Linked DNA regions of Arabidopsis thaliana. The protein of the gene in region 4 interacts with the protein of the main gene of each other region in a pairwise test. Each region holds a gene or a part of one and is shown on either strand. Other genes may lie near its edges.

Region 1 (8,410 bases), on a different chromosome or scaffold from region 4:
GTTTGGTTGAACCGATACAAGCAGTGGGCAACACTGGGAATGTAGGGCTAGGATTTCCTCAAAGGAGAAGGAAATAATATGAGGTACAAGATATTCAGTTTAAGGGACTCTTAGTGTTCATATATTACTTGAGAAATTGAGTTACTATATAAACTTGGATTGGCTTATAACAAGAGAGGTTGCAATAGGTAGCTAAATTTCATCTAGACTTGTAAGAGTTGAGAATCATTTACTTGCTGATTTTGAGAAATAGAATGAGAAATCGAAGTACCAAGCAATAGACAAGTTGGTTTCGATTTTTATTGGACCAAGCAATAGAACTGTATCAAGAAAACAACATATCGGATTTATGGTCCATTTTCTCTTGGTCGACAATTTTTTGAAATGGCGCGACGTTGAACAAAAATTATACGAACAAAGAAAGCTATTTCCAGGTTACTGCCTTTATATTTGGATGACTTGTTCCAAGGGGAAACTTTTTTTTTTTTTGTCTGTCATCTGATGATATTAGAACTTTCAAAGGAACCAAGATGATTGCAACAGCTACACTGTAATCTATAACCATCATGCCATTGGACGCATCCTAGTAAATACATAAGAAAGACACTCCCTTTATTTTGGTCTCCGTTCTTCAGCCACACCTTATAATATCATCCACAAGATAATAAGTGGTGTCTAGCAAATAACAAAGCGAAGCTATATCTATATTTATTTACTTATTGATTGTCGTGAATCTATCTTTAATGGTGACATGCCATAGAATTATCACTATTGTGTGGTTGTGCTTGTAATTGTTTGTAAAAATTTTGATTTTATGAATCAAAGATTATCAACATCTAGACTTTAATAGTTAAGGAAATAATAATATTTAAAAAACGCGTACCTAAATCTAATGAAAAGTCAAAATTACGGTCAACGCCTTACGAGACGCGTCTGGTTCTTGAAAGCAAGTTCTGCGTTATTTCATCATCAATCAAAGTCGCCATTTTATTTTTATTTAAAGTCTCACGTCACGGAATTATCTCTCTGAATTCATCATCTTCATCATTACCTTCTTTTTCTCAATCTCGATTGTTTTCTTCCAAATTCATGTCGATGATGGCGGGTATACAAGGCCAGATTCTCGAGGTCACTGGTTCGTACCTTTCTCACATCCCCAATTCTATTATGTTCTTCAACCTTATCTATGATCCGTTGAAATGTTAACTTTTAAAATTTCTGGGATTCTTTTGATTTGTCAGTTGTTGGGTGCCAGAAATTGAAAGACACGGAATGGTTTTCAAGACAAGATCCATACGTCGTCCTTGAGTATGGTGGCAGAAGTCACCGTACCAGAACCTGCACAGGTTATTTTTAATACCACCTCTTTTATTCATAATTTGTTCAGATCCAGAAAAAATTGAACAAAGTTAAGATCTTTCAATGAATTTGATTGATGGGTTTGTTTTTTCAGATGGTGGAAAGAACGCTGTTTTCCAAGAGAAGTTTATCTTCACTTTGATTGAAGGGCTTAGGGATCTTAAGGTTGCTGTCTGGAATAGCAACACTCTCTCCACTGATGACTTCATTGGCAATGCAACGTATGTGTCACTTCTTATCATTGCCTTGTTATGCTTTTTAATACCCGCTTTGGATTTGGAATTGAGTCTTTTGTTGTTTGGTTGTTATTAGGATTCAATTGCAGAAAGTTCTTTCTCAGGAATACGACGACTGTACCTGGACTTTGCAGAGTAAAACTGGGAGGTAATTACATTGGCTTTACTAGTTTTTGTTCCTTTTCCATTAAGTATCATGTTTGGTAATCTCGATTATTGCATGGTTCACATTTGTCTAGCTGATTTTGGTGCAACTTTTTGATGTGGTTTCTACTATATAGTGCTTGAATATATAGTTTCGCCAGTTGCTTTGCTTTGCTTTGCTTTGTTCTTGTCATTTACTTACAGTGCTGACATGGTTTTGCTCACTGATCAGAGTCGTTATGTGTGTTTTTGTGTCCTAAATTGTTAATCTGTGTGAACTACTTGTTCGAATGTTCTGTTTCTACATTGAGCACACTCACAATTGATGTAGCATTTTGATTAGGTTTCTCTGGAACTTATGAAAGATAACTAGACATTTTGACATAAATGGAGCTTCTATTGTCTGTTGTTAGGTTACCTCAGTAAAGAGATGTGAAGTTGCGTTTAAACATTGTAGCATCAAATTAGAATTTCTTAAAACTGGTCTCTTGAGGTATTCCATTTTTGTTTTTGAAAAAGAGAAAGTTATGTGTTTTTTAATCCATGGCTATGTGTTTTGTTTTCTTAAATTCCTGGAAAATCGGTTACAATGTGCCAAGATTTTGGTAGCTTGTCCTCAGCGATTGCTCCTTGTAAAAGATTACTTTTTTGATTAAAAGCCTTGTGAAAAACATCAACCTTTCTGTCTTGTAGATTCGCTGGAGAAGTACAACTCCTACTGCATTATGCGGGAGCAAAGGTAAGTCGAGCCTCAATTAGCAACATTGGTTAACATGTTCCATTATAAACAAAAGGCTAAACACACAATCCACTCTTGTATGCAGAAACATAATTACGGGTCTGCGCCATCAGCACCGTATGCACCTCACGTACCTCAATACTCAGCACCGCCTTCTGCATCTCCGTATTCAACAGCACCACCATACTCTGGACCATCTCTATACCCACAAGTACAACAATACCCTCAGCCATCAGGATACCCTCCAGCTTCAGGGTATCCTCCTCAGCCATCTGCCTATCCACCTCCCTCAACCTCGGGCTACCCTCCGATCCCTTCAGCTTACCCACCTCCTCCGCCATCCTCAGCTTACCCTCCTCAACCATACCCTCCGCAACCATCATATTACCCACAAGGTACCTTCCTTTCTTTCCTGTTCTATGCTGCAATTGATCGCATTTGCTTGTCTCTAACTATAGTCAGTGGTGGTTGATCTTTTTTCTTCTTGTTTCCAGGTCCATATCCAGGACAATACCCACCTCCTCCATACTAGAGCGTTTGGCGTTTAGAATTTGACGGGAAGTGGTCATGATGTATAGATTATAGTTATGGTGTTTTCTAGAATTTGGCAGACGAATTTCTTTGTTTTGTTTTTTTTATATCATCTTCCTTGTGCTATTGCTAGCGTGATGGTTAATTTTTGAGTTGGTCAGTGAAACTTATTGAGAAGTTTGGATCTTTTCATGTTTAACCAGATCGCAGATTATATTGAATTATTACTCTAAATCCTTGGTTTTGTGTGTTCATCATCCTCTTGAGTTAAAATTATGTTAAAAACAAAAAAAGGTTTTGGTTCTGTCTTTAACTTTAAGAAACGGAACTTATCGGCGTATAATCATCGCACTTGTGATCAGATGCAATTAGAAAAAGGTTATTTGGTCAATGTATAGCAATATCTTTAGGTTCTAACAAAAACATTATTGTTGACAAATAGCCCAAAAGTAGTAGAATTTAGCCGACAGATTTTACTGCACTTTGGTTTCTCGATCTCTACTCCAAATGAGTAAAAAGTGGGTAAAGCGGGAAACAGCAAAAGAAATCACACATTTAATAAAAAATAAAGAAAAAGAAATTCCACATTAAATAATCACAACAAGAAAAACAAATAATATATTAGTAAAAGACAAACGTAAAAACCATCTCTCGGCCTTCTCTCATAAATCAATCTCTCTTCTTATCACTCTCCGAAACCCACTTCCAGCTTTTTCCTCTCTCTTTCTCTCTCTAGTCTCTCTTTTGTAGCTCTCCCCTGCTAAGCTAACCACTGCACGTTTCCATAGAGAGGAAAGATGAGTCTCTCTCCGAGAGATTTTCTCTCTATCATCTTATCTTCTTCCGTGTAATGCTCTGAGCCAAAACCCAATAACTAAATCAACAACAATATAGAAGAGAAGAGAAAGATCTTATCTTTCTTCTCATTCTTGAGTTTAGTCCCCCACAATGGCGATTCGGAAGGAGGAAGAAAGTAGAGAAGAACAGAGCAATTCGTTTCTTCTTGATGCTCTCTACTGCGAAGAAGAGAAATGGGACGATGAAGGAGAAGAAGTTGAAGAAAACTCTTCCTTGTCTTCTTCTTCTTCTCCATTCGTTGTTTTGCAACAAGATTTGTTCTGGGAAGATGAAGATCTGGTTACACTCTTCTCCAAAGAAGAAGAACAAGGACTCAGCTGTCTCGATGATGTTTATCTTTCCACGGATCGAAAAGAAGCTGTTGGTTGGATTCTGAGAGTCAACGCTCATTATGGCTTCTCTACTTTAGCAGCTGTTTTAGCCATAACTTATCTCGATAAGTTCATCTGTAGCTACAGCTTACAGAGAGACAAACCATGGATGCTTCAGCTCGTTTCTGTCGCGTGTCTCTCATTAGCTGCTAAAGTCGAAGAAACCCAAGTCCCTCTTCTTCTAGACTTTCAAGTAAATGATGATACTTGCAATAAATTTCCTTAAAGTTTAAGTCTTTTATCCCTCTGTTCTCATCTCTCTGTTTTTTTGGGGGTTTGCAGGTGGAGGAGACAAAGTATGTGTTTGAAGCAAAAACCATACAGAGAATGGAGCTACTGATTCTGTCTACTCTCGAGTGGAAGATGCATCTCATTACTCCAATTTCGTTCGTAGACCACATTATCAGGAGATTGGGACTTAAGAACAATGCTCACTGGGATTTCCTCAACAAATGCCACCGTCTCCTCCTCTCTGTAATCTCCGGTTCGTAAACGACAAAAAGAAAAAAGCCACTCCATTTCGTTTTACCATCTGCTGAATCTGAGTAATCATCTTACATTCTTGTCTTATCTTCCTCAATTGTCTTTGTCAGATTCAAGATTTGTCGGGTACCTCCCATCAGTAGTTGCCGCAGCTACCATGATGCGAATTATAGAGCAAGTTGATCCCTTTGACCCTCTTTCATACCAAACTAATCTCCTCGGTGTCCTTAACTTAACCAAGGTTAGCTTCTCTAATCATCTCTCTACTTGTTTTCACTCAGTCATTTTCTCAAACAACTCTCGTGCATTAACAGGAAAAGGTGAAAACTTGCTACGATCTAATCCTCCAACTACCAGTGGACCGCATCGGTTTACAGATCCAAATCCAATCTTCCAAGAAACGCAAGAGTCACGATTCATCATCATCGTTGAACAGTCCAAGCTGCGTGATTGATGCAAACCCTTTCAATAGCGACGAAAGCTCAAACGATTCGTGGTCAGCGAGTTCGTGCAACCCACCAACGTCGTCGTCGTCCCCGCAGCAACAACCTCCATTGAAGAAGATGAGAGGAGCTGAAGAGAATGAGAAGAAGAAGCCGATTTTGCATCTGCCATGGGCAATCGTAGCCACTCCATAATCGAAAGCTCGATTTCGTTTATATGATATTTACTGTTTTTTTAAACTTTGAGAACAATCTTTGTTGTATTAAGCTTTACCCGTTTGCATATACGAAATGTCGCGAATGCCCTTACGTGCCATGGCTTGATAGAGTTAATGGGTAAAGGGTATTCATGACATTTGACTGCATGGGATGTGACGAAGGAGAGAATTAGAAATAATAATAATAATATTGCGTAAATTTTGAGGCTTGCCCAATCTTTGGGCCGTAATCTCCGGCGTTATTCATATTTTATTAATGTTTTATATTATGAGTAGTAGTATGTTCTAAAATCTGCTTTGCTGAAGGAAATAATAATTACATACATATTCTTTTACTCCTGTAGTTTAGGAAAGAAAAAAACGCATTTAAATCCGTGCTATTTGATAACTACATTTTTTTCGTCCAGAATGGTGGATAATACAAAATTTAAGAAATGAGATGTCACAATGTTTTAATATTTGAATGAGACTGTTGTGTTTATGATCGAAAGTGAAAGATTTAGCGTTTTTAGCTTTGACTTTTGGGAGAAGAGCCAATTGTTGCTGCTTTTTTTGTCAGTCTTTAAATATAATCGCTTTCAAAGATGAATCAATAATTAAAATTTTAAAACGGAAAGACAAAAATGAAAACGTAACACTATATTATTGCTTTAGATTTTTTGTCTAAAGTCTTGTCAAAACCTGCTCTACACTATATTATTGCGTATCAAATAACTAACTACACATGAACATGTAAGTTGTCGAAAATAACAACATATAATTATAAATGTTTTTAAAAATCAAACAGCGAAACTTAAATCAAATCTACAGAGTGTAGATCTTTCGTTGACCAGTAGATAAATTAACTGCGACAGACAGACACAGGACAAGAAGGAGGAAGTGAAGTAAACGCGCCATATATAGGTGAGTGTTGTTCGACGACGATAAAAATGTGGTGCAGCATTAGTAACAACACCAGAACCAAAGTAACCTGCTTCCACTCTGAGCACCTGGGATTAAGACACGTGGCAAAAAGTATCCAGCGTTACTATTCTTTTTTTCTTTTAATAACATCAAATAATCGTCAATTAATTACGAAAATTGAAGATATTAAATTTAACAATTTACTATTATAAAATCCCTTTTGTATCACGGAAAAGCTTATATGATAATGCGATTGAATCACGAGAAATTGATTTTTTTTTTTTAAACAAAACTTTAGGTTGTGTGAAAATCTTGGCTCCTTCTTTTACACTTTTTCTTTTCCAATTTTATTTTCTCTTTGGACTTTTTATTTATTTATTTTCTTGGCAATAAAAAAAGAGAATTTAAATCTATAACTTTTTTCACGTGTGACACGAATTTTCTACTTTGGGGGATTCAGATTCATCGTTCTTTTTCCTTTATATTCTCAATTTCATTTCGCTACTTAGAAAAAAAACGAATTGCTTTAGCTGATGTCGTTTCTTAACGCTCAGCCTCACGTCATCAAAGCATTTAAACTCCCCTCGTTCATGTAATCTTACATTAATACGTATGCGTAATGCGTTTATGTATTGTTTAAAACAAAAGATCCGTTCTCTAACTTCAACTAAAAAGTTAACATCCATGCATATGTATTAGAATATCAAATTAAGCACAAATATTAACATGTTAGCAAAAACATGACTCTTTATTTCTACAATATGTATATCGACTTTTAATCACAAGTTTACTGGCTGTAGAAAATAGGTATATTTGTGTATATACGATTGAAAGTGTTCATATATTATATATATGATATGTTTTATTTTTGCCGTTGTTCTTGAGCAACTATATGCTAATATATATAGGAAGAAATAATATATTCTTCTTATTATTCTTATTTTGTATTTTTAAAAATAATATTTTATAATTTGCAGAAGAACGGGAACAATGTGATATATCAAAACTGAACAAATAAAAATACTGAAATTTGAGTAGTTAATCTAATAAAAGAATCTCTAGTGCAAAAACACTGGTTTAAAATTAAACAATTAAGATGATATATCAAAACTTGCATACCAAACTATACAAAAATTATAATCGGCCACATGCATTACTATAATTTTATGATAACATTTGAAAATCTGGAGTAGGGCATGTAGCTACATAATTGATGAAAGGTGAAAAAGGATGTATGTGGAAATCGGGAGGTTTTCAAAATGGGAGACCAAAAAATCTTTGTAGTTATTCGTTTTCTTTTACAAATTTCAAATAATAAATATGTTGTGGAGAATGTGTTTTCTGTCCTTTTTTTTTTTTTTTTTTTTTTGTCTCTTCTAATGGTCTTCTCCTCTTTAAGGTATGTTATCAATATCATGGTACCATACGCATCTCGTGAACCATATAATGACTTGCCATAAATTATTTATTTCCTGAAACAAAGATAAGATGAAAAAGAGATTACTTGCTACGAAGAAAATAAGTTCTTTTAACCAAAAAAAAATTGGTCGAAAAAAAAAATTCTTCACATCTATTTACAGTCTTTACTTTTGGGTATAATATATACTCTTCTGGACCGAATAATTCATTCCCTTCCCATTCCATCCCATCAAATAAATGTGAAACTATTCTTAGTCAGCTTTGAATTTTGGTAGTTTTATTTTTAATTTTTAATTAATAGGTGTTAAAATCGATGCTTTTTTATTGAAGAAAACTCAGTTATTAAAAAAAGAAATCAAAATATATTTGTATTGGTAAAAACAAATGAAAAAAGTTTAGAAAAAATGGGAAAGGAAAACAGCTTGCACCCAACATGGAGAAAGGGCAAAGAGGTCAATGTGTCCCCACAACAATAATTATAGAATATTATTATCATTCTCAATGGCTTTGTGACCTTTATATCTTAAATATTTCTTCTTTTGACCTAGTCTCTTCCCTTTTTACTTCCACTCTTCTTTTTTTCTTTTATTGTAATTTGAAGTGACGAGAATGTGTGTATGGTCAAAATGTTATACCGGGGAGAAGATTACAATACATCAAAATTTGTTACAGAACTGCTGCATATGCTTATCAGTATTCTCTGAGA
Region 2 (7,956 bases), on a different chromosome or scaffold from region 4:
TACTACAAGTAATGAAACAAGCGTTAGTAGTCGCATTACTATGATATTACAAGCAAAAAAGGAGAAAAAAGAAAAACCAATTGGGACTTTACCATCTCCATCTGGTCAGAATACACGACAATCTCATAGAATTTCCCAAGATGCTCCAAGAATGCATCGACACCTGGTCTTTTGAATGTCCTCCACCCTCTTTCCCGCTAGACATTTTTGTAAATGAAAAGGCAGGAAAAGTTAAATACAGCACTACTTAAGAAAACAAAGTAGTTCACCAGAACTGCTTTGTTTCATAACATAGATACTCTGAGTCACATATTCACATCTATGATGCAAGTATTTTGATGATCAGTAAATAAATGAAATGTTACCTTCCAGTCAGTGTAAAGCAGTGTCTCATTTAAATCAAGAACTAGAGTGAAGACATGCTGTTCTGCGGGGTGCAGATCCGGAAGAAGCTTTTCCGAGAGAGGTTCCGTGAAGCCCTATAAGGAACCAGACAAAAAATAAGAATTCTAGAAGAAAAAAGAAGATGCAAGAAAAAGAAAAGTTGTGTCTCGGTGAAAGGACGTACTTTCACTTGTTCCTCCACAATTTCCCTAAGCTCTAAATACTTATCAATGGCTCTAGCAGAACCTGATCAAAATTCAAGCAAACCAACTCATGCTATGCTTAATTAAAGACATACTATTAGTTATGATGACAGAGGCGCAAGAACTATACCTGTCATTGCAGCAGAGTACAACTTAGTCTGATATTTCTGCAGAAAGATGAGTATAAAGGGTATTAATTCAGAGAAGCTTATAAACAATACCTTGAAGCAGAGAAACATGGCAGCACGCATTTGAAAGCCAGAGACTAAAGAAAGTCAACTAATACAGAAGCAAGTTATGATCAACATTAATTTGACAGCGACTCAAGGCTACCAAGCTTACTCACATCAATCACATCAATGCCAGAAGATTTAATAACTGGTGTCTTCGTAGCTGATTCTCGGAACGCCTTAGTCTTTTCATTCACTTCATCTATCGTGTAAGCTGCATAACGAAACAAACAAGTATAATCAGAACTAAAAAGAGTCAACATAACGAAGAAAGACACAGTTCTACCAAGTGAAGAACACTGAATTCAAAAGACTGATATGTGAAAATGTAATGCAATGCCACGATTAAGCAAACCATAACACATTTTTACTCGCATTTCACAGCAAAAACAACTTTGTACTAGAAATCTACGAGAGGGAAAAAAGATAATTCATGAATGCAAGTACATACCAAAACTTGCGTAACCAGTAGCAGCGGTAGCACCAGTGAGTGCCCAGAGGAGTGCGTAACCAAGATACTTAAGACCTTTCCTCTCCTTTCCCGTCGCAGCCGCGGCAGCAGCTTCCACTTGAGGAGGAGGAGGAGGTGGCGGCTGATTTGGCGGTGGAAAATCAGAAAACATCGACTGGGTAGAGGTGACTCCCGAATACCTAGATGTAGAATTCGTCGAAGATGCTTCCGCAGAGAAACATCTCAGATTACGAGATCTGAGCTTTGCTAATCTTGGCAACAGGCGAGATCGAAGAACAATAGACGCCATTTCCGATTTCGGCGTTTTCTTCAAACTCTGTGAATGATGAATGAATCGCAGGGTTGAAGTAGGGTTTTGGAATTGATCGGAGAAAAGGAAAATTAACAGATGGACTGTTTGGAAACAGGTTTTATGGGCTCGTTTTAACTCTCTTATCCACTGTTTGGTAGTCGGTTTATTTCTACTCCGATATTTTTCTATTTTTTTTGCTGTTTTTTTTACTTGTTTACCAAGAAGAGAATCTATTTTATTTTATTTTTGCATTTCGGGCTTTTAATAACTAATTAATGAAGTTATTTTACACTATTTATTTACCAAATAAAATGAAAATATTTTTCCAACAAAAATAATAAATTCATTCGTGTCAAAAAGAGAAAACAAATAACCAAAATTTATTAAATTTGTAGGGTTTCTTCTGCCTAAACCTCGACTACATGCTGTTTTTTGCACCAGTGAAATAAGCGAAACTACATAGAAAGAAACAAGTCTTACTTCCACAGAGGAAAGTTTAGAGAAGTAGAAAAGCCACAAAGCAACACCAGCAAATACATATAGCTTAAGCTGCTCAGACACAATTCAACGAGACACTTAGTGAGAGAGTAGCAAATGACTTACTCTTCCTGGGACGGCAAATTTAGCTTCAACTTTAAGAAATCATTGGTCTTTGCAATCTTCACAATCTCCTCAGCTTCTTCTCTCTTAGACCCTTTCACCAATTCATCAACTAACTGCTGCAACGTTGTTTGACCGACAAGATACCGCTTACTGAATGTCTCCTTGAAGAGCTCAATCGCAGACTCAAAGTCACCTGCTTTACACATAGCAGGAAGCAATAAAGCAAAGGTAGCTTTATCAGGACGATAACCATGCTTCACAATTTCTTTGTACCACGCTTCAGCTTCGTCCATTTTTCCTTCGTTGATAGATCCTCTAATCATAGCATTGAAACTGAAAACATCAGGTTTGAGCCCACTAGCCTTAAGTTCTCCAAAGAGATTTACTAGCTCTTTCGATTTCGCCTCATTGGCTAATCCAAGCAGCCTAGCATTGTAAGTCCTGATGTCTATTGCTACATTCTTCTCCACCATTTTAGCCCATATCTCTTCCCCTAGCTCAAACTGTCCCTTTAGATACGAAGACAGTAAAAGTGTGTTGAATGTAACTATATCAGGTTTTAGTCCCTTGTTCTCAATCTCATCAAGCAATGCAACAGCTTCAGGTAAAGAATCCTTCTCACACAATGCCTTAATCAAAGTATTGTAAGATACAATATCTGGTTTGATTGATAACTTTCCAGGTAACTCATTGAAAAGTTCTTCAACCACATCGAATTTCTTGGAAAGTCTATATGCACTAAGCAAGGCATTGAAGGACAACACTGACCTCTTGCAGTCTCTGTTTGGCATTTCTTCGAACACCTTCTGTGCATTTTCAAACATGCCGGCTTTTCCATACAGAGAAATGATCCTCGCCGCGAATCCCTCTTTTGACATGTCGCGGTACTTCTTCTGCTCCTCCAAAATCTCTTCGACATAGTGTAATCTCTTTGCGGCTACGAGACGGCGCACGGTTCTATCGTACACGGCTATGTTGGTCCGGAACCGCTCCGACTCACATGCCTTCTTGAATTTCTCCACGATCCGTTTGGGGTTTCGTTCGCCATTCACGAGACTGGTTAGTGACTTTTGAGGAGGCGAGATTGCGGCAGTGACTGCGGTGGGTTCGGAGACTACGGTGGCGGCGGAGGAAAAACGGCGGATCGGGCAAGTGTTGAAGGTGCCACGGAGAACGCGAGATAGAGACGACATCGTTTTGGGAGTGAGAGCAAAGGGTTTCAGCCTTCAGGAGACGAGTTTAAGAACAAATCAAATGAAGGACGCATCTGATAATTTAAAAAATGTTAGTGCCTTATTTTTAACTAAAGGAAATATTGGGGGCTAGAATAACAAATAATAGAAATAGTGTTGTTTTGCCGACGACCTAATTTTACTTCACCGGTTTGATTACGGGAGAAGGCGAGCTTGAGCTTCAATGGCGCCTGTTAATATGACTGGCGCTGTTGTTGCAGCAGCGGCGTTGTTGATGCTTACTTCTTACAGCTTCTTTTTCCGTCTCTCCGAGAAGAAGAAGAGGAAGGAGAAGTTGACTATGAGAAACGGGCTTGTTGATGCCATTGGCAATACTCCTCTGATTCGTATCAATAGTCTCTCTGAGGCTACTGGATGTGAGGTTTTTCTCGATGTTCTTTTGCTATTTTCTGTTTGGTCTGACGAACTGATAGTGTGATTTATGAGTTAAAGATGTAATTTTCATTCTACTTGTTTCGTCTGGTGATCAGATTCTTGGGAAATGCGAGTTTTTGAATCCAGGAGGTAGTGTTAAAGATAGAGTTGCTGTCAAGATCATTCAAGAGGTACACTATGATTAGCATTGTAAAGGTTTCAACTTTTAAAAGTTTTTTGATCATCATAAACCTCTCTTAACAATGTCAGTGATTGAATCATCAGCTTGGCTATTTATATTAGTGGTTTTTGAAATCGAGAAGCAAGTCCATTATGTTTTTTTTGTTTCTCTGTTTAGGCTTTGGAATCTGGTAAGCTATTCCCTGGAGGAATTGTAACTGAGGGTAGTGCAGGAAGTACTGCCATTAGCCTTGCTACAGTTGCTCCGGCTTATGGGTGTAAATGTCATGTTGTTATACCTGATGATGCTGCTATTGAAAAGGTTATATCTTTTAAATACCTTGATGATGATTCAAATTCCCTTGTATGCATTATTGTACATACACTCAAATTTGTATCGTGTTGGACTTATTTTAGTCTCAAATAATTGAAGCCCTTGGAGCTTCTGTTGAGAGAGTGAGGCCAGTGTCAATAACTCACAAGGATCACTATGTCAACATTGCGAGGCGACGGGCTGACGAAGCAAACGAGTTAGCATCAAAGAGAAGACTAGGGAGCGAAACAAATGGCATACACCAGGAGAAAACTAATGGTTGCACGGTTGAGGAAGTGAAAGAGCCTTCCTTATTCTCAGATTCAGTTACCGGTGGCTTCTTTGCAGATCAATTTGAAAACTTGGCAAATTATAGGGCTCATTATGAAGGTACTGGCCCTGAAATCTGGCACCAGACTCAGGGTAATATTGACGCCTTTGTTGCTGCTGCGGGTACAGGCGGGACTTTAGCTGGTGTTTCAAGGTTTCTTCAGGTATAATTACTCAGGGCTTATACTAATCAAAGATGTAAGAATGAGTAATTCGTGGATGTTATAAGCAAAAGAAAAACTCATAACTTGTTGGTGCATTTATACAGGATAAGAATGAAAGAGTTAAATGTTTTCTGATTGATCCTCCTGGATCTGGTCTGTACAATAAAGTAACACGGGGAGTGATGTACACAAGAGAAGAAGCTGAAGGGCGTCGGCTAAAGAACCCATTTGATACAATAACAGAAGGGATCGGAATCAACAGGCTTACTAAAAACTTCCTGATGGCAAAACTTGACGGTGGTTTTCGTGGGACTGATAAAGAAGCGGTTGAGATGTCGAGGTAGTGCTCATTCCTTTATATGTTTTGACATAACTGTTTTAGAGAGTACTGATAAAGATTTCGTAAAAGTTGGATCTTGATATCTTTCTCACTATATTATGTTCCCAGGTTTCTTCTGAAGAATGATGGGCTCTTTGTTGGAAGCTCCTCGGCTATGAACTGTGTTGGGGCAGTAAGGGTGGCTCAGACCCTTGGTCCTGGTCACACAATTGTCACCATTCTTTGTGATAGCGGAATGAGACATCTAAGCAAGTTTCACGACCCTAAGTACTTGAATTTATACGGGTTAAGTCCAACCGCTATCGGATTAGAGTTCCTCGGCATAAAGTGAAACTACAAATCTGTTACAATATCTTCAGATCAATCAAGCCTGGGTGGTCTGCAGTGGTTTTGTTTTGATTATGTTTTAGACTAAGGGTGATATATTCTTGGTAAGACTTCAGATTAGAAGACAACAACTATGTCTAGAGTCAACGGAAGAATGTCAATGCAACAATGCATGTGTCTGACCTCTAAAACTCCCATAACTGCATCTTACACCTGTCTTCTCAATTGTTTACAAGTCCCGACCTAATGGGGCCCCTTACAAGATTATGGGAAACATGTATTCAGATTTTGTCTTTGTACCTATTAGATTTTGTCTATGTTCAATGCATTAGACTGGAAAACTCAAAAGTGTTGATAAACATAGATTTCCATGTTTTTCCATAAATAAGTCGGTTGTGTAAGGTCTCATGATCCCAATAATGGCAAGAAATGGAGTCAATAAGACACTATTGATCTTATCACTTTCTTTCTTGAAGAATCTATGCATGATCCCAATCTTGTTTCTCTCTAACGTTCTCCACACGATTGCCGTGTGTAACAAGGAATCCAAATCTTATCGTCATGATCAGGAGGAGCTTAAAAGTCTGGAAACGGAAACCAACCTACATGAAGAAGAAGAGGGTTTGATAGAGATCTGTCTGGTGAGAGAAGCAAAGTTGGAGAGTGTGAAGAAACGTTGGCTGAGTAGAGAAGATTATTACGAGGAGATGATGATCATGGAGATTTGGGAAGAACTTGAAGCAGAAGATAACTTGATTGAGATTGACATCTCCAACAGATCAATTGTTTGACTTTATTAGTACTGATAGTTCTAGATGTTTTATCCGCACATTATTTCATATGTTTCATTATCAAAATTTTGGTCATCGCAAAACATATTATCTTGTATTATATTATTGCGTTTCACGTTGACAAAAAAAATGTTAGATGGCATAGTTAATTACTCGTAGCAGTTTCGACTTCAACTCTATTGGCCAAAAACGCATCAATCAAATCCGATGCTTTGTGAGTCACAGTGACTGTGTTCTCCTCTCTTGTCTCAGTCTCGCATTGTGCGTTGGGTCTTGTTCTTGATTTGACACCAACTGTTTCAGCTTGGTCAGAGAACATGACCTCTGAGACGTGTGAGCTGCAAATCTCTTTGTATGCTTCGTAGTCTGCAGCTCCAGTGTTTCCTCCTTCAAGGATCTTGGATAAAGGGTGAAGAACTGAGACTGGACCGTCGCTTGACTCCAGCTGCCGCTTGAGTGCTAAGAAGTCCCAGACAAGTTCTGAGTTCTTAAACAGGACAAAAACCGCAGAGTCGTCCACGTGGTAGACAGAGGTGACAGAAGCAGAGCCAAAGGCTTTGCATATGCATTCTTTGATCCCTCTCGCCTTAAGTTTTCGTGGGAAGTTCCAGATGAGGACAATGTTCTCGTATTTGAACTTTGAGACTCGCCAGTTATCTGCATTACTATGGCCTGTTCGAAGGTCGATGATATCACCTCTTGTCCAGCTGAGATAAAGACGGTTGATGTACTTTTCAAGTTTCTCGTTCTGGGCAAAGTCATCTAACTGCGAATGCTGTTTGAAGTCAAAACCGAGATGATTGCATGCCTGCGCAAAGATGCAACCTGTCATGAAAGCATCATAACCGGCTTCGTGTTTTCCTCCTGCATTCCAGTTAGAACACCTGAAATAGAGAAAACAGCCGTTAAAAGCAGTTTAAATCAGAAAACAGTCAAGTGTCATGCCAAAAATAGGGAGGAACAAACCTAACGTTGTCTATTTCAACGTCAATATTGACACGCTGCTGAAGAAACGAGTCAGAGCTTCTTGAAGAAAACTCGATTTGCGGACATAACGAGGAAAACGCGGAAGACAGTGATGTACTGGACTTTTTCATCCGCTGATGCAACATTGGATTCACGTTTAAGAGTATTTTGGTGTCAACAATATAAGGAAAGTGACTGTTAATGGAGGCCACGAATTTCTCAGCTGTTGAAGGAAGAGGACCCACAAATTTGCTGTATACATGTGCAATATCTGTATCAGATGAACAAGATGTTAGAGTTAGGCATCTTTAAGTTACAAAACCTTCACAAACGTATAGAGAAGCAACTTGCTAGTTTACCGAGGAAACAATTGTGACCAACGATCAGCTTTTTCTCTGAAGCAAGCAGATCAATCACTTGACGGAACCCGATTGCAGATTGTATTTTTCTTTCTGCCAATCTCTTGCGTTCGTCCTTTGCCTCCTTCTGTGAAAAGAGACAGTAATGGTATCTAAATCAAAGAAGGCCTTTAAGTAGAAGAATCAGTTACTACACTATAGCTACATCATCTCTCGAGCCTGAACTTTGCTATCATCAAATAATTCACTTCAACACTCTCAGTTAAAATCCAAAGGACATGTAATGTTTAGTAACAAATCTTTCCAGCAACGTAAATGCTACCTTACCATGAGGTTTTCCTTGTCGGAATCTGAATCAGTATACACAACAATGTCTCGTGAAGAAGAACTTTTAT
Region 3 (9,067 bases), on a different chromosome or scaffold from region 4:
CTTAACGAGTGCAGAATTTGGTGTATTCAGCCTAGCTTTGTATATTTTCTTTGCAGGTCTGCTCTCAAACATTTGCCTGACGATCGTGTTAAAAAGTTCAACTATTGCCTTCCTTGTGAGCTCTAATTTTGATGCTTAGCTGGTTGTTATTGATGTTATATTCTCAGTACCATGTTTTCATTTGCTTGAGATTTGTTTTCCCTAGACATCATACTGTAAATATTACTGTTTTACTATGATTTGCAGACATCAACAACCCATATAAGGTTGATGACTCTGAGAAGAGCACTGTGGTTAAAATAATGTTCCCTTCTGAGCCACCAGTAAGTTATTTTTGTCTTTCTTAACTGATCGACAATACAATTTGGTAGTTTCATTTTTAATCAAACTTACTTTTCCTTTGTGCAGGTTGAATGTGAATATGACTGGGTGAAAAGCGTCATTGAGGTGCAGTATCTGACTTTTCCAATAAAACACCTTACTTGAATTACTTCTCATCTCAGTTTATTTTAGGAATTCACCGACAGTCTGATCAATGAGGAGGTATTACTCCCGGAACAAAAGGTTGCGTTCGAGGTAAGCAAGCAAGAGCTGGAATTGATTTGATGAATTCATTTGAGGGAGGTCTCTAAAATCACTCACCCATATGTTTCCTTTTTTCAGGAGTTTGTCAAAGAGAAAAGTGACAAAGCTATGGCAGCTTATGACACGGTATCATGTTTCATACCCTCTGCTACAGAGCCGCACATATACTTAACAATGGATTCTACAATTGGCAGGCACAAGAAGCCCTAGAGAAAGCAAAGGAAGGACTGAGCGAAGAAACAAAAAAAGCCTATCAAGAAATGAGGTTGTACAAGTTTTATCCATTGCCTTCACCAGACACACCCCACACTGCAGGAATTGAGAAGGTACAAAACAAATCCAACTTAGTTTGTCAATGGAACTCTGAATATTATTGCCAAAATCTGATATAAGTTTGTTGGTCTCTGTGCAGTCCCCGTTCATAAACAGGTACTTCGGGAAGGCTCACGAAGTCCTGTAACCGTTTCTCCTAAACCCAGGAACCTTTTTGTTTCGGCAAACTTTATGAACAACTGAGAATCAAAGAAACCACTATGGGATTGTTTAGGCCAAAGATACAACACACTTACAAATAACAATTGTCTTTTTGGAGCCGGATTTTTTTTTTTTGTTCTCTGTTTTCTCGCTTCTTTGATGCAACATGCAACCAACCAAATAGTGTTGAGAGACTAAGCAAAGATTAATCTAAAGAGAAAGAGTAACAACAAAAGTAACAACAAATGGGGGCATTTCCTCCACTTCAGTAACGAGAAGTTGAAGAAGAAGAAGAAGCAGCAGCAGAATCTGACACGGTAGAAGTTCTTTTTTTCCTCTCTTCCTCATATTCAGCATCATCAGTCTCAAGCTGGAATCTACAGACAGGACAAGAGTTCCTTGTTCCTAACCATGGCACAATACAATCTCCGTGGTAACAATGTCCACACGGTAACTTCTTACCAGTTTCTCCCATCACCATTCCATCTTTACACACAGCACAAACCATAACCATCTCTCCCTCCGAAGAACTAACCTCGAAAGTCTCCAATGCCTCTATTGCCGATTTCGCAGCCGGTGGTGCGCCTCTCCTTCCTCCGCCACCACCACCATCTCCTTCTGCTAAATTCTGTAGCAAAGCTTCGTATCCGGCTGCATCGTCTATGTAATCAGCCGGATTTCCTGCGTATCGATCTGATTCCATACGGAACTCAATCGAATTGTCTTCGATTCCCATCAAAATCTCAGCCCAATCGAGAATTCTGTTTCTTCCGGTTCTCGACTGCGTCGTCGTGAGAGGAAAACGATTTCTCCTCCTCAGATCATCTTCTTCGTCTTCTTCGTCGTTGACGGTTAAATTCTCTTCCTCATCCTCTTCTTCTTCATCTCCATCATCTTCATCTTCGTCTTCGTCATCGTCGATTTCGTTTCTACTATTGAGCTCCAACCTGAAGAAATCATCTTCGTAAGATAAAACATCAAGGTGTCGTGGTGGTGAACGCTGAGAAGGCGCGTGGGCTAACAAGCGGAGCATCTGGAGGAAATGCGAGCCAATACTGGAGTCTTCTACATTCAGATCTGGGGAAAGTGGCTGCGGTGGCGCCGGCGATGAATAAGCGGCGGGAGTCGGTTGAATTGACTCGACGAAACCTTTGTTACATTCGCAGCACACGACAAAGTCATCTAAGGTTTCAACGACGACGCGTTTGTTGCAGTGATAGCACCAGTGCGACGCCGTGGCATCCGGGGAAGACGACGGAGCATCGGACATCGTGCAATTAATCGTCGGGTTTTCAGGCTTTCGGGTCCGGATTCGGATCCGATAAGCCGATTAAGAGGATGGAGAAAATAAAAGAAAAAGGTCTCTCTGTATTATTATTATCGAATTTTTAAGACATTAGAGAATCCTGCTCATTTACCCACTTGACCCACCCACAATATCATAATATTTTCTTCTATATATGATATCACCATCATCATAAATTCATAATACTTACAATTTAATCAAACTGTTCAATTGCTGTCAAACATAAAAATCAAATTGTTCAATCCAATTTAAACCAGCTTCCAAATCAAAACTGACTTGCACTTTTATCCAAAAACTTGATAAGATAAAGTACCATTTGACCCATGAAATTTTGTCATATCGAAAAGCATAATTTTAATTTCTTTTGACAACAATACAAACATATAACTCGAATACATAACTTTGTAATAGCGATACAATTGTTTCAACAGCACCCATAAAATAAAATAAGATTAAAAAACCCAAATCGTTACAATAAATTACAATACAAAGATGGCCTCCTCGTCTCAAGCATAGTCAGACCCACCATGAAGGTGATACATAGCGAAGTCTCTCCATTCACCAAATGTTGCAAATGGCAAAAGACCGTTTATGACTGGAAGAACAAACAGAATCACCACATACACGACACTGCGCCTTGCCCAATATGGAAACATACTGTTACAACGGTTCGATCTGGTCTCTTGAGTCACGTTTATAGGACCGAACATTAGACCATACAAAGCCAATGTGAAGACATTTGCAACGAATTGCAAAAGGCAAAACACTTCCCAAACTATTAGCCAGAGTTTGCCATCACCGCCCAATGTGTCCACACACAATTTACCCGATACACCGCAAAATATACCGAGGAAAAGAACGATGAAACTTATCGGCATTGTCTGCTTCGTACCTGATGATCGTTTGTTTAGAAAGTAAGTGAAGACAATGATCATTAACACACCGAAAAATATCTGCACCCAAACTCGAACCCGGCAGATGAAGGTGTTGAAGCCTGAGTTAATCGATGAAACTTGTTTAGGAACCCACCACGACGAACTTTTCTCCTCGGATTGGTCGCATACTGAGGTAGCATCCTCGATTCTCTTTATTGAAAAATTGTAAACGCCAAGTACCATAGAAGCCAACATGCTGAAGACACTTACGAGGAGCCAATCCATGATTCTTGTGACCATCTCTTCTTTTCTTGTATCTTCTAATTCGGTTTTGAATTTCTCCGCTCTGAATGCAGCTTTCGAAACATCCAACTCTAGCGCCGCTTTCCCCAGGTTGTTTGATTCAAATTTTAATCCTAGCGCCGTCTCTTTGCACCTTAACTCTCTTATTTGAAGACCAATCTCCACGGTCTTTAGGTCGTTTGCTCGTGTTTGCTCTTTTAAAAACCTTTCGTCTGTGGTCAAAGCCATTGCTGAACTTCTAGGAGGGACACAAGAGAGTTGTAGAGTCTCTTCGAAAAGGGCAAGCTCATTCATCAAAGAGGTTGCTGTTGCACTGCCTTGCATCACTTCATAAGCAGACGTAGCAGATGAAGTCTCCCTCTCAAATAGCTCGGTGTCTGAGCATCCGTCTATGGTAGAGCGATCTAAATTACAACTCCCACCATCATTATTGTTTGACTGATGTGGATTTGCACATTCATTGGTCAATTTAAGGATCTTTAGAGTACTGCTGAATGTTTGCTCAAAGTTGGTCGCAAAGGAACCAAGCTTATTACCATAAACCTGTAACCACAACATTATGAATCAGAAAGTCTATAAATATAAAAATGCGGAAAACATAGAGGGGGATTTTAGCTTACATTGGCTAATGATTCTTCGACAAGAGTAGCAAAGATCTGGAGAGCATAATCAATGAAGTTCTTGTATCACTACCAAAACGATGGCAAAAGAAAGATTGAACAGAAACTGAGAAGAAATCATTTGAAGTTCATACTACTTACCTCAACAAGATCATCAACATAAACATTCTGACCTGCGGCATTCTTTCTCGCAATAACCTAGAGAACAATAAAACAGAGTAGAAACAGAGTAAGAACTACAGAGCATATGCAAGTCAATGACTTTGGCGGCTAGGTAGGATGAAATTTGGTGAAATCACAATCAGAACTACAAATCCGAGTAGAAACTAGAAAGGCTCAAGCTTTAAGGCAAGTGAGAGAGAAGACAATATAAATTTGCAATGTTACATTGAAGCTCGATCATAGAGACCCCCAAGAAGAACTTCAGCTTCTATTGATTGACTCTGATTATAATTTGAGGAGAAGATCCTCTCTTCGATTCAGGGTGAAGAATTCACGCAAGTACTGAGAGAAGAAAATTCAGATTCAATCCTTTTGACTCTGATTCAGATCCTCTCCTCTGTCCAGTTTTGAATCAACAAAGCCTAAATTGAAAGACTTTGTATTTAATACTATCTAAAGATCAAAACTTTCAACACAACCAAAACCTAGTATTCACGCAAGGTCAACTATAGGAACAACCCGTACCAGCAAAGCCAATTTCGTATCAAAACAGTTATGTGATGCAATAAAGATCAAAGTTTGGAAATTGATCGAACCATATTAGCAAAAGCGGCAAGTGAAAAGCCCAGAGGCTTCGCCAATTTTTCAGCTTGTCGTTCACCAACGCTTCGTCGAGCCATACCTAACCGCATAGGGTTTCGTAATCTATGAACCACTCTCGTAACCCTTTTAGTAGAATTTGAATTAGAGGTAGAAGATGTAGAACAATAGGACGAAGAAGCTTCGTCGTTGTCCATAATCTCTTTCTTCTTTCCCTTGAGTTTTCTCTTTTCCAAATTCGATGGATTCGTATCCTTCTTCTTCTTCATCATCATCGTCTCATCTTTATGTACGTCACCAGATTGATGATTTGGCTTTGAATTCGCCGGATTGGTGATTTGATTTTGGGGTTCCGGCGAAGGAGGGAGGAGGAGGGCTTCCATAGCCTTAAAATATAACTTATGGGGTAAATTTGCAACTTTGAGAAAAGTATTTAAGTTGTAAGACTTTGGTCGCTTCGTGACTAGTGAAAAGTTTCGAATTTCCAACTTTTTCCTCTGATTTAATTTGTATTTTTAAAAATTCGTCATAATTAGCTTAATATAGGAAAAATACTTGACCAAATATCTGAATTAACTTGTAAGTTCAACGAATTCTTCAAATTATACAATGTATATGTTAATGTCAATTAAATAGGTAATAATATGTTTACTCGATTTTTAGCGATAATTTGATGTTTCTAGGTGCTTTCTGTTCAATGAATAGGATCGGTTCAGTACTTAATTGAACTAAAAGTCATACATATAGCTTAGGACCAGATTAACATACCAAGTAGTCGAGTTTAGGACCGAACCAATCAGTTTGGTTTGAAGATGGACCATAAAAGTGTTTGGAAAAAGGAACAATAAAAAAAATCGCACAATGTTTGTGGCTCCGATAAATAACACGATGAGGTGTCTTAACACAACCAATCAAAACACAAGAACATCTCCTTCACTAATCTCATCTTATGCCACGTGTCCTTTTCATATCCACCCCTTTTATTTTATCATAATTTTTTTTTTTAACATTCTCTGTGGTTCGTCATGAACCTCAAAAAACCTCTCACTGCAAAGTGCCAACAAACAACAAGTCTTCACCTTCTTCTTCTTCTTCTTCTTCAAAATCTCTTGTACGCAAATAATCCATGAGAAACTAGGGTTTAACTTGAGATCTCTCTTCCGAAGTATTACCATCAATGGCGACTTCTTCTTCTTCATCGTCGTCTCTGCTTTTACCAAACATCAATTTCAACTCAAGACAATCTCCAACAATCACTCGTTCCGTTTCAATCGCCGGGATCTTCTTACCCAGAAACCGATTAAGCTACAATCACAATCTCCGGATTCGTACGAGATTAATCAGAGCTTCTAAAGACGATAATGTCGCTGTTGAAGATCGTGATAATGCAGTGAAGATCAACGGTGATTACAACGGAAGTGCACGTTTAAACGGTAACGGCTCTGCGAGAAAATCCGTCAACGGAGATTTTAACGGAAGTGCTCGTTTGAACGGTAACGGTAGTTTGGTGAAGTATGTGAACGGAAGTGTAACGGTGGAAACGGAGGAAGTGACAAAGAAGAGAAAAGAAGAAGTGAGGAAGAAGAGAGTAGAAGATATTGGTCAAGAGGATGCTTGGTTTAAGAACAACACTCAACAAAAACAAGTTGAGGTATAAAGTAATGTACTTTTAATCAATATCGTTTTGTTTAATGATTCAATTCCTTGAAAGTTTGCTACTTTAATATTGTTTTACAGGTTTCTGTTACACCTGGTGGTCGATGGAATAGATTCAAGACTTACTCAACTATTCAAAGAACATTGGAGATTTGGGGTTTTGTTGTACAGTTTATTTTCAGGACTTGGTTAAGCAATAAGAAGTTCTCTTATAAAGGTTGATACTTGTTTTTGTTTGCTTACGTCTAGGATTAGGACGATTCTCATTTTGTCTAAATTCTTGAAAAATCATGTGTATAAGGGGGAATGACTGAAGAGAAGAAGGTTTTAAGAAGGAAGGTTTTGGCTAAGTGGTTGAAAGAAAACATTTTGAGATTAGGTCCTACATTTATCAAAATTGGGCAACAGTTCTCTACTAGAGTGGATATTCTTCCTCAAGAGTATGTTGATCAATTGTCAGAACTTCAGGTTTGATTTCTTTTTATTCTATTTGAATTTGTACTTGTGGCCTGTGAGGCTCTTCTTTTTTAAGTTTTATGATCTTATGCTTTGCAGGATCAAGTTCCTCCTTTCCCTTCTGCTACAGCTTTATCCATTGTTGAAGAGGAGCTTGGAGGTTCTGTTGAGGACATTTTCGACCGTTTTGATTATGAACCTATAGCTGCAGCTAGTCTTGGTAAACGTCTTTGTGATAATCTTCTCATAAATTTGCAAGAGATGATAATAAAATTAATGGTTTTTGTTTTTAATTCATATAGGGCAAGTTCACCGTGCAAGACTTAAGGGTCAAGAGGTTGTCCTTAAAGTACAGAGACCTGGTCTGAAGGATCTCTTTGATATTGACCTTAAGAATTTGAGGGTTAGTGTCTCTATACCACAGTCATTATAGAGCTTTTCCATGTTGCAAGCGTCCTTATCTCGTGATTTTCTTATCCGCTCTTCTGAAGCTATTTGCATGATGTTCTGCTGAGTCAATGACTTTGTTATGCTTCTATTTAGGTGATCGCTGAGTATCTCCAAAAGGTGGACCCAAAATCAGATGGTGCAAAGAGAGATTGGGTTGCAATCTATGATGAATGTGCCAGTGTTTTGTACCAGGTATGATGATGTGGTTTAATGTTTTATCACTTCTTGTGAATAAGTTTTGGACCATTTTACCGGAGAGAAAAAGGAAAATGATTTTGATTTTGAGTGTGCTTTTGTTGCTAATTGTCCTTTGCGTAGAAGCTCAGTCAAATCTTCCTTTCTGTATCCCAACTTGAGTGACCTCTAACTACTGCAGTAATAACAATGTGCTATATTTTTTCAGGAAATTGATTACACAAAAGAAGCAGCTAATTCGGAGTTGTTTGCTAATAACTTCAAAGACTTAGAGTATGTAAAAGTTCCATCCATCTACTGGGAATACACTACACCTCAGGTATTATTATTACCTATGACCATTAGTTCACCATTTGTGAAGCCTTAAGCTCGAATGCAATAGTTATGCATTGAGTTCTTTGCAGGTCCTGACAATGGAGTATGTCCCTGGGATTAAGATTAACAAGATACAAGCCTTAGATCAGTTAGGTGTTGATCGAAAAAGGTTTGTATTTTCTTACATCTTCCTCCCAGACTTATATTTGTTATTTCTCTTTGAATCCAAAATAGTTTCGTTGTTGTTGATTGATAACTTGGTACAATGCAGGCTAGGAAGATATGCTGTTGAATCTTACCTGGAGCAAATCTTATCTCATGGATTCTTCCACGCCGACCCTGTAAGTCTCTATCCTTTTTTTTTTACACTAAGTGTCAACAATCTTTAATTTGGTGTACCAATACGAAAAGACTACAATCTAATTTGCTTATGTATCTTTCTGCAGCACCCTGGGAATATAGCAGTTGATGATGTCAATGGCGGGCGGCTGATATTTTACGACTTTGGAATGATGGGAAGGTACTACATTTTATTATGCTACAACATGACTCTGTTAGTATGTGAAAAACTGCTTCGGTTCAATATGGTGAAGAAATGTGATCTCCTTTTATCAACTTGTTAAACTTATGGTTCTGTACAACGTGTTTTACACTTGCAGTATTAGCCCAAATATTAGAGAAGGTTTGTTGGAGGCATTTTATGGCGTCTATGAAAAGGATCCAGATAAGGTATAGTCTCTAAGGTGTTCTCACTTTCAGTCTTCTACCGACATGCCGCATACGACCTGAGCTCATACTTAAATATATATGAATTAACCTTCTTGTGGCAGGTCCTTCAAGCTATGGTTCAAATGGGAGTGCTTGTACCAACTGGAGATTTGACGGCAGTTAGAAGAACAGCATTGTTTTTTCTCAACAGGTAATTTACTTGATCCTTGTACCCTTGCTTCTTATCCATCGAGCTACCTATTAAATCATTGTTACTTGTTTGGTTTCTCTAAAGTATGTGTGAGAGTGTGTGCATAATAGATTCCAGTACTATCCCTCTGATAATATCACTTAGCTGATTG
Region 4 (7,370 bases):
AAGTAGGAGCCCTTAAATTTGTATCCTTGGCAAAAAAGATAAAACAAGGAGACAAAATAATTAGGAAAATGGATGAAAGAGATTCATCGTATCCAAAGTTGCATCAAGTTGCGGAATCGTTTGCGCTTATGTCTTGCAGTGATTATGTTTCTTGTTACTCGATCTATGCCCTTGAAGATGATAACCGGAGGAATAGAAACCTGATTGTGAACACTTGTTTATCAGATGATCAAAGTATATAGAAACATGGTACTTAATTACTAACACAGTGACTACTCTCGTTATAAGTAGTTATCAACTTATCATTGGTGATGTATATGATGATGCACTTTAAATAGGTAATGAAACATATAGGACCTGAGTCAAAAAAATGTACTGCATTGTTTGAACAAATGTACTAAGATCAAAATGTATATCATCATCAGTTCATCACCATATTTCGAAAAGAACAATACTTATAAATTTTCTGTTTAATTACTTAATCAATAAAAGATGCGTATGGTATTAGAAACAAGCTTTTGTCAATTGTGAACAAGCAAAGAAAGATCCAATTCTAATAGAATTCAGTTTCTCGAAATTTTGTATATAAATAATAATGTAAGGAAGATATATGATCATATGAATGGGCTCAGAATAATTTTAAAGGGACTTGTTGTTCTGTGGAACACAAGATTGACAAAGGAATCTCTATATTGGGCCCGTAGAGTCCAACTCATAAAAACGAACAAGTGGAGAAAAAGACTCCAGCTCTCTTTACCACTTATTGACAAAAACAAAAAAGAAGAAACAAGAAAAGAGTAAAATCTTTGCCTCGTGGGTTTTAGTGTACATTCTCGCATCTTTGTGTTGTGTCAGTTTCTTTAACCGATCAGTACAGTACGACAGTTTTAAACATTTTAATCATAACCTCTGAATTTTCTCGTTGAATCTTGAGTTCTAGTATTTTTAAAGTAAGAGTGATAATAATGACAAACAAAAAAAAGTACTCCGTAGAAAAGGAGAGACCAAAATTAAAGGAGGAAAAAGTTAATAATAAAGCCATTCTTGGTTTAGGAAATTAAGAGAGTTATGTAATAATGGCAGAGTTTGGTATGAAAAGATTTGTGATTGACCATTTCTTTACTCGTAGAAAGCGACCCGGAAATAAACACCAATCATATCTATCTGTATTTTTTATTTTTTTAACAAATAATTCTGATCTTTAGATCCATTTTTTGGTCCAGGAGTAGCTTTAACTATGTAAATCATTTTTCTTACAGAGATTTAAATGACTCAACTTCATTCTAACTTCATTTTTCTAAACAAATAAGTTCTGATCTTTAGGTCCATTTTTTGGTCCAGGACTAGTTTTTAAAGACCGTAAATCATTTCTCTTACAGAGATTTAAATGACTCAACTTCTTCTTCTTCTTCTTCTTTTTTTTGGTTGTTGCTAATCGAGTATAAATTATAGGCGTTAGGTACACCAACCATATCTAATATCCATGTTATATTAGATAGATAAATTAGGAAAATAAAATAATACAACTCAAAATAGTTACTTTGTTGAAAGAAATTGAGAGGGAAAAACTGGAAGTGTATATTTAAGCTATTTTATTTTTAAAAAATATATAATTTCAAATAGCTAAATTTGTAAAATGCAAGGAGATAGTACAATATTTTAGTTTAATAACTTGTAAAGCACAAACAAGTTCGTAGTTAATCACTAGAGTAGCACCTACAATCCAATCCAAGTGAGAATAAAATAGTAACTTTTTTACTGAAAAAGCCTGATCAATAAACAGTTATATTCCTTTACCACGTCAGCCGTGACCCTTTTTTGTTCTGCTCTACACTCTCTTTTCATTGTTAAAAAAAAAAAATCAAATACTGTATGATAATTGATACATAGAAATAATAGAAGCTATTTAGTTTTCAGTAACAATTATAATTACTCTTAGAGTTATAAACTTATAGTTTATTAATCGAGAAAAACACGAATCTAATTAATTACCTCAAGGAAGTACAAACAAAAGTTGAATTACATGTTATTGATTATTCGAGAGAAAGATATCTACATTTGGATTTTGTTAAAAGAAAAATCAAAGCAAAGATTATTACAGAAGAGAAATAATAAGTACTTTGGTGAAAACAATGATCATCATTATCATCATCGTCTTCTTCATGGATTCAATTTAACCCACTCGTATCTTCCTCCACCAAGTGGCTCATCTTTCTCGAAATCGAAGTTATACCTAACAACAAATTCATTATCAGTTTCAAAAATTCGATTAAAAGATTTGAATCAAAAAAAAAAAACTTACTTCATAGAACATTCCAACAACTTATTCCGAAGATCTTTCTCCGCCACCTGAAAAAAGTCTTCTAACTCAGCTTCCTTCACCGTCTCATGGAGACTCTTCCTTAACCTGCGGCGAGACTCTACATCTTCAACAGCCACCGAAGAAGAATCCATGTTCATCGATTCCTCACTATACACAAAAAAATCAAAGACATTTTATAGAAATGTTTGTTACTGATTCAAAATTTTAATATCTGTAACAAATTAAACAAACCTCTTATTCAAATCATCGTAAATCCACGACGTTTCTGTTTCACGATCGTCACCGTTATTTTCCTGGAAAAACGAATTCAAAAATTTCAAAATCTGTAAATCAAAATTCAGTTTCGATAAATAATGCTTTCGTTGTCACCTCAAGATCTACAAATTCGATTCTCCGTTTCGATTTCTCTTCCGATGTAGAACAACACGAAACCGACGAATCTTCTTCTTCGATTTGACACTGTTCTTCAACCGGAGGAGAATCTCGCCGTCGTACTATAACAACACTCGTCTCCGACGCTCCTGCTGAATTTCTCGCCACAATTCCACCGCGATTCGTCGCCTGTACACACGGAGACAGAATTATCCTAGATTCCACTAAATCCACTTCCTCCTCCATCTTCCTTCGTTTCACCGTCGTCGTCGTAACTCCATTCTCTTCAACCACATCTCGTTCTCTTCTCCTAACCGCCGCCATAATCTCCTACGACGTCACCTTCCAGATCTCTATCTCTCTCTAAAATCACTCGTTATGTGTGCGTGTTTGTGTTTCTCTCTCTTTCTCTCTACTAGAGAGTCTCTAGCTCGCGTACCATTTGGGTTATTCTGTTATAAGATGGTGACGATCTTCGTTTTGATCGTAATTTGTTAACGGCCACGATTAACTCTTGTCATTTTCATATAAAGCCTCGTGTGAAGTAGGAATAGTAATTCTTTTAATATGTAACGGAGAATTTGACGGCGCCGTTAAAAATCGAGTATTTTATACCTTACACGATTGATACGTGTCTTTTATTCGTTACGATTACATTAATAGTTTCAAAGTTTACAAAATCAGTGCAATTAGTGCATATCTAGTTACTTTAGAATGATAAATTTTTTTGAATTCAAATTTTTTTGAATTAATATGTTGTTTTTATTTATTTTAATATAATTGGCTGGCTTTTCCAATAAATCAACGAGAATGAAAATAATTATTGTGGATATTAAGATAAAACTGTTTATTTTTTGTTATAATAATTACGAATTTATATTATAAAGATAACAATAATACCATCAAATTATCATATTAATTCACAGACGATCAAATAGATAAAAAAATGTGTGTAAAGCAATATAATGTATATGCAACATGGAATTTGACAACGATGTTATAGATCGAGTATCTTATACCTTTACACGATCAACATATGTCTTTTATTCGATGTGATTACATTAACGGTGTCAACGTTTACAGAATCAGTGCATATCTACGACTACGTTAACGGTGTCAACGTTTACAGAATCAGTGCATAATTTTTTTTTTAGAATGGTAAATAGAATTTGAATTCAATTTTTTAATTAATATGTTTTCTGTTTTTTAAAATAATTGGTTGGTGTTTCCAATGAAATAGAATGAGAATAATTATCGTGGATTTTAAAAATAAATTTAGATTTGATAATTTTTTGTTGTAATAATTGCGAATTTAGATTATAAAGACAATAAAAATCTTAGATTTATAGAGAAAAATGACAATATCATCCAATCATCTTAAATAGATTAAAAAAAATGTGTGTAAAGCAATGTAATGTTGTCACGTTACATTATTAGTGATAATATGTGTTTCTGTGTTAAGATCTTATCAGTATTTGACAATGTAGTTGTGTATAGTTTTTCAATGCATAGTCGTAATATTTCAATTTTGTGAGGGGGTCGACCGTACACATATCAAAATAAGGTATAAAATACATTAAGTCTAAAATACATTAAGTCTAGGGCCATGACGTATTTAACGGTTAGGTGATAATGAAATCAATGCTGCGACATGCTGTTTTGTTGTGGCAATACAATACGTACACAAACATATTCACATGCTTAAATATTACTACTAATTCACACAGTGAATTAAATACTACTAGTTCATATCGCATACATTTCGTTGGTAAAAATAAAAGAATTTTTTTCCATCATCATTTTCGTCTTATATTGAATTTTTTCTTTTTTTTTAATGCCGTCGTTCTGTATCGATTCTTGAGTTCACACAAGACAGTGTCTGCGCATATCCATCATACCATTCAATTTAATAATGTGCCCACGAGCTGCATACTCAATCATTACTAAACTGTCTCTCTCTTTTTTACACTCACTATAACAATGTGTAAGTATATATACATACTTATGAGATATTCAAAATAAAATAGTGAGCTAAACATATAATGTAGTTTAAAAATTCGCATAATATATGTTGTTGACTTCAAAAGAACAAAGATTATCATAACAATTACTACGAAAATAAAATTATCATATATCTATGTATACATCCGTAGTTCTTAATTATGAAAACTTAAACGCTAGTACCAACAAATGAATCCCTAAGTTTTAAAATCTCTCAATGAATACATATTGATATTCGTTTTGAAGGATAATTTTCGATTTAAATTGTGATAGTATTTATCGTAAAACATTACTTTTAGATATGTCCCAGTTTTTATCCAAATATACATAAAGACTGTGCCTATCATGAAAAGTGAAATTGCAACACATCTAAATATATCTTTCTAGATGGAAAAGATATCCAATAAAAACGAAAAAGACTTAAGTGAATGCAGACAAGGGCACATGGGATCTTTAGTGATTTGTATTGTGTGGGCACGAAATTTTATAATCCATAAAGTCTATATCATGATCACAATTTGTAATCACGTATAAATGTTACTACAAGTCTCCAAAGCACTTAAACCCTTTAACAAAACAAAAAAAAGTCTCCAAAGCACTTTCTATCGTTTTCTTACAGTTATATCAAAAAGACAGTCACTGATTCAGAGTTTCATAATCATTTACAATTATAGTGTAGAAGAATGCAGTTTAATCTTGAGTACATAAAAATACAGCAAAATGACTTAAAACCGTATATAGTGTAGACCAAAATGCGAAGCAAAATTGCCGTTTCTCCATTTCTAAAATTTGAAGATGGCTTAAGTTTAAAATAGTCGTTAGTATGAGTGTTTGATTAACGAGTAAAGTGATAAGTAGTAAAGTATTATGTTGAGTAAAAAAAAACCTTTAACTTCACATTTTTTTTTGTTACTTGCGTGATCGAGTGTAGTTTTTTTTTTGTTTTTTTTTGGTTATTTTATCTGATCGAAGAATGGAACCTTAGTTATATGACATTTCATAGTTTTGTCTGTTTCTTACGAGATTAACGTAATTTATAAATTCAATTTGTGGGGATCATGTATAGGTGCGAAGCTACCACATGATTCACAACCACTGTTGGATTGTCAAAACAAAAAGATAAAAGAATGATAATTGATGGAGGTGGGTGGACCCAAAGCAAGGCTAAATATATTCCCAACTAAAACATTAATTAAATTGATCAAGCTAAAATGTATATATATTCTGATTTCTCGATCTGATTTACATATGTTTATGCGACCCCAATAATGTCCTTTTATGAATTAGACAAGAGTTCTTATGGTATTTATGTATTTAGTATTTGAAGTTTTGAACATAAAACAAGATCGACTTAATTACCGTAAAAGACAAAACAGAAAAGAAATAAGTTGATAAACTACTAACTATTCAGAGAAAAACAGGATTAATTTCATTTTTTTTCCTTTTTAAAAATGAAGTACGAAGTCTATTTCACAAGAAATTAAGAAGATTAAATTGTAGTAATGAACATGTCCTTCCCCATTATATGTAAGCAGTCAATGAATGATTGGAATTTGGAAACTTTAACGTTACTCTGACTCATAAACTTACTAAGAAAGGTCCACATTAAGAATATTATCAAATTGCATTAATTAAAATTTTACCTAAAGTCTAAGTTCGTAAAAAATTGGTTTTGGGAGTGTTCAAGGCTAAGCTCTTGTGTCCATGCATGTTCGAGTTTATGCTGGAGAATGATGATTTATGTTTTAGGCAACACATGAAAAAAACAAACATTTTATTAAATAAAGTTCATAACTTCATATGCCAAAGAAAGCTGACGACAACTTTATTTAATTAACGGAAGGGAAAAAGGTTATATTTCTCTTCTAATCAATAAAAAGAAATAAAGTAATGTGTTTTTGTATACTTTTTAAACATTATTCACGCAACTCAATTATAGTGGGGAAAGAAAGCAGATCACTTTCTCAAGTCGAACTTTTTCTTTTTCTCCCCATGGATTTCCCAAGGCTCCTCCAATTACCCTACAAAGACTCTCTTTCCGAAAGGAGATTCATGAATTTTATCATATGAATTGATATGTAAAGCTGATTCATCTTTCTTCTTCGATGATTTTACATCAAAAATTGATAAAAGACATGGAAAAATGCATCATTCACGTGGTTTTCGTATACCTTTTCTTATGTAATGAAAAGAAAATAAACTTTCATGCCTTGCTTTAATTTAGCTTACGAAATATATCAACATTATTGGTACGTATAACATATATATAATCATCTTCTAATGAATGATTGGTCAACCATAAAAAGGTTGTTTGAATGATATGAGATCCAGTTATCCAAATGAAGAAACATGTCGTGTTTTGTGGAGTCATCACACGTATCGTTGAATGTAGGTTTTCAAAATACTAATAACAGATTCAAAATCACACACAATTCAACTAATAGTAACATTGACAAAGAATGCAGGAGTTTAAACCGAAAACCCCATAAAAACTACATTGTTAATATTGTTAGTTTTTCAGTGAAAACAAAACTGGTTTTGTAGAATCCGCCGCAGATAGTATATGGCTGAAATTTGCTAGTCAATTTTTGTATTACTATTAATAAACCCTCTATATATAGCGAGAAGCTAGCTAGATATAATACATATTCGTGTAAGATACAGACGATACTGT

The links.
Region 1: the proteins of KRP2 (region 4) and CYCD3;1 interact in a two-hybrid assay, tested with the Arabidopsis thaliana proteins (2 studies listed by BioGRID, with this or other methods).
Region 2: the proteins of KRP2 (region 4) and AT1G55890 interact in a protein complementation assay, tested with the Arabidopsis thaliana proteins (one study listed by BioGRID).
Region 3: the proteins of KRP2 (region 4) and CPR5 interact in a two-hybrid assay, tested with the Arabidopsis thaliana proteins (one study listed by BioGRID).

What each region holds. Positions count from the first base shown.
Region 1 is NC_003075.7:16,353,946-16,362,355, forward strand, and holds CYCD3;1 (CYCLIN D3;1), read left to right. Parts: upstream 1-3,475; 5' UTR 3,476-3,957; coding exon 3,958-4,431; intron 4,432-4,520; coding exon 4,521-4,722; intron 4,723-4,831; coding exon 4,832-4,962; intron 4,963-5,035; coding exon 5,036-5,359; 3' UTR 5,360-5,620; downstream 5,621-8,410. Other genes in the region: AT4G34140 (D111/G-patch domain-containing protein), read left to right, coding at 1-77; AT4G34150 (Calcium-dependent lipid-binding (CaLB domain) family protein), read left to right, coding at 1,090-1,135, 1,242-1,346, 1,454-1,580, 1,672-1,743, 2,433-2,478, 2,564-2,873, 2,973-3,010. UniProt on the Arabidopsis thaliana protein: Involved in the control of the cell cycle at the G1/S (start) transition. Activates the G1/S phase transition in response to cytokinin hormone signal, but declines in response to sucrose starvation leading to G1 arrest.
Region 2 is NC_003070.9:20,896,785-20,904,740, reverse strand, and holds AT1G55890 (Tetratricopeptide repeat (TPR)-like superfamily protein), read right to left. Parts: upstream 3,499-7,956; 5' UTR 3,378-3,498; coding exon 2,181-3,377; 3' UTR 1,941-2,180; downstream 1-1,940. Other genes in the region: TIM50 (Haloacid dehalogenase-like hydrolase (HAD) superfamily protein), read right to left, coding at 1-2, 93-197, 366-479, 569-630, 718-754, 934-1,031, 1,269-1,578; AT1G55880 (Pyridoxal-5'-phosphate-dependent enzyme family protein), read left to right, coding at 3,601-3,798, 3,908-3,982, 4,150-4,293, 4,389-4,778, 4,883-5,118, 5,227-5,449; AHG2 (Polynucleotidyl transferase, ribonuclease H-like superfamily protein), read right to left, coding at 6,382-7,120, 7,203-7,473, 7,562-7,688, 7,889-7,956.
Region 3 is NC_003076.8:25,943,014-25,952,080, forward strand, and holds CPR5 (CPR5 protein), read right to left. Parts: upstream 5,385-9,067; 5' UTR 5,309-5,384; coding exon 4,922-5,308; intron 4,362-4,921; coding exon 4,305-4,361; intron 4,200-4,304; coding exon 4,164-4,199; intron 4,087-4,163; coding exon 2,872-4,086; 3' UTR 2,670-2,871; downstream 1-2,669. Other genes in the region: AT5G64910 (Serine/Threonine-kinase), read left to right, coding at 57-115, 247-323, 409-447, 514-576, 664-711, 780-911, 1,015-1,101; CIP8 (COP1-interacting protein 8), read right to left, coding at 1,325-2,329; ATH13 (ABC2 homolog 13), read left to right, coding at 6,103-6,576, 6,663-6,798, 6,883-7,049, 7,137-7,257, 7,340-7,440, 7,581-7,679, 7,891-8,001, 8,087-8,166 and 4 more.
Region 4 is NC_003074.8:18,796,157-18,803,526, reverse strand, and holds KRP2 (KIP-related protein 2), read right to left. Parts: upstream 3,222-7,370; 5' UTR 3,020-3,221; coding exon 2,693-3,019; intron 2,617-2,692; coding exon 2,555-2,616; intron 2,471-2,554; coding exon 2,303-2,470; coding exon of another isoform or gene 2,299-2,302; exon of another isoform or gene 2,234-2,298; coding exon 2,161-2,233; 3' UTR 1,932-2,160; downstream 1-1,931. UniProt on the Arabidopsis thaliana protein: Binds and inhibits CYCD2-1/CDKA-1 complex kinase activity. Regulates cell division which is crucial for plant growth, development and morphogenesis. May regulate early lateral root initiation by blocking the G1/S phase transition.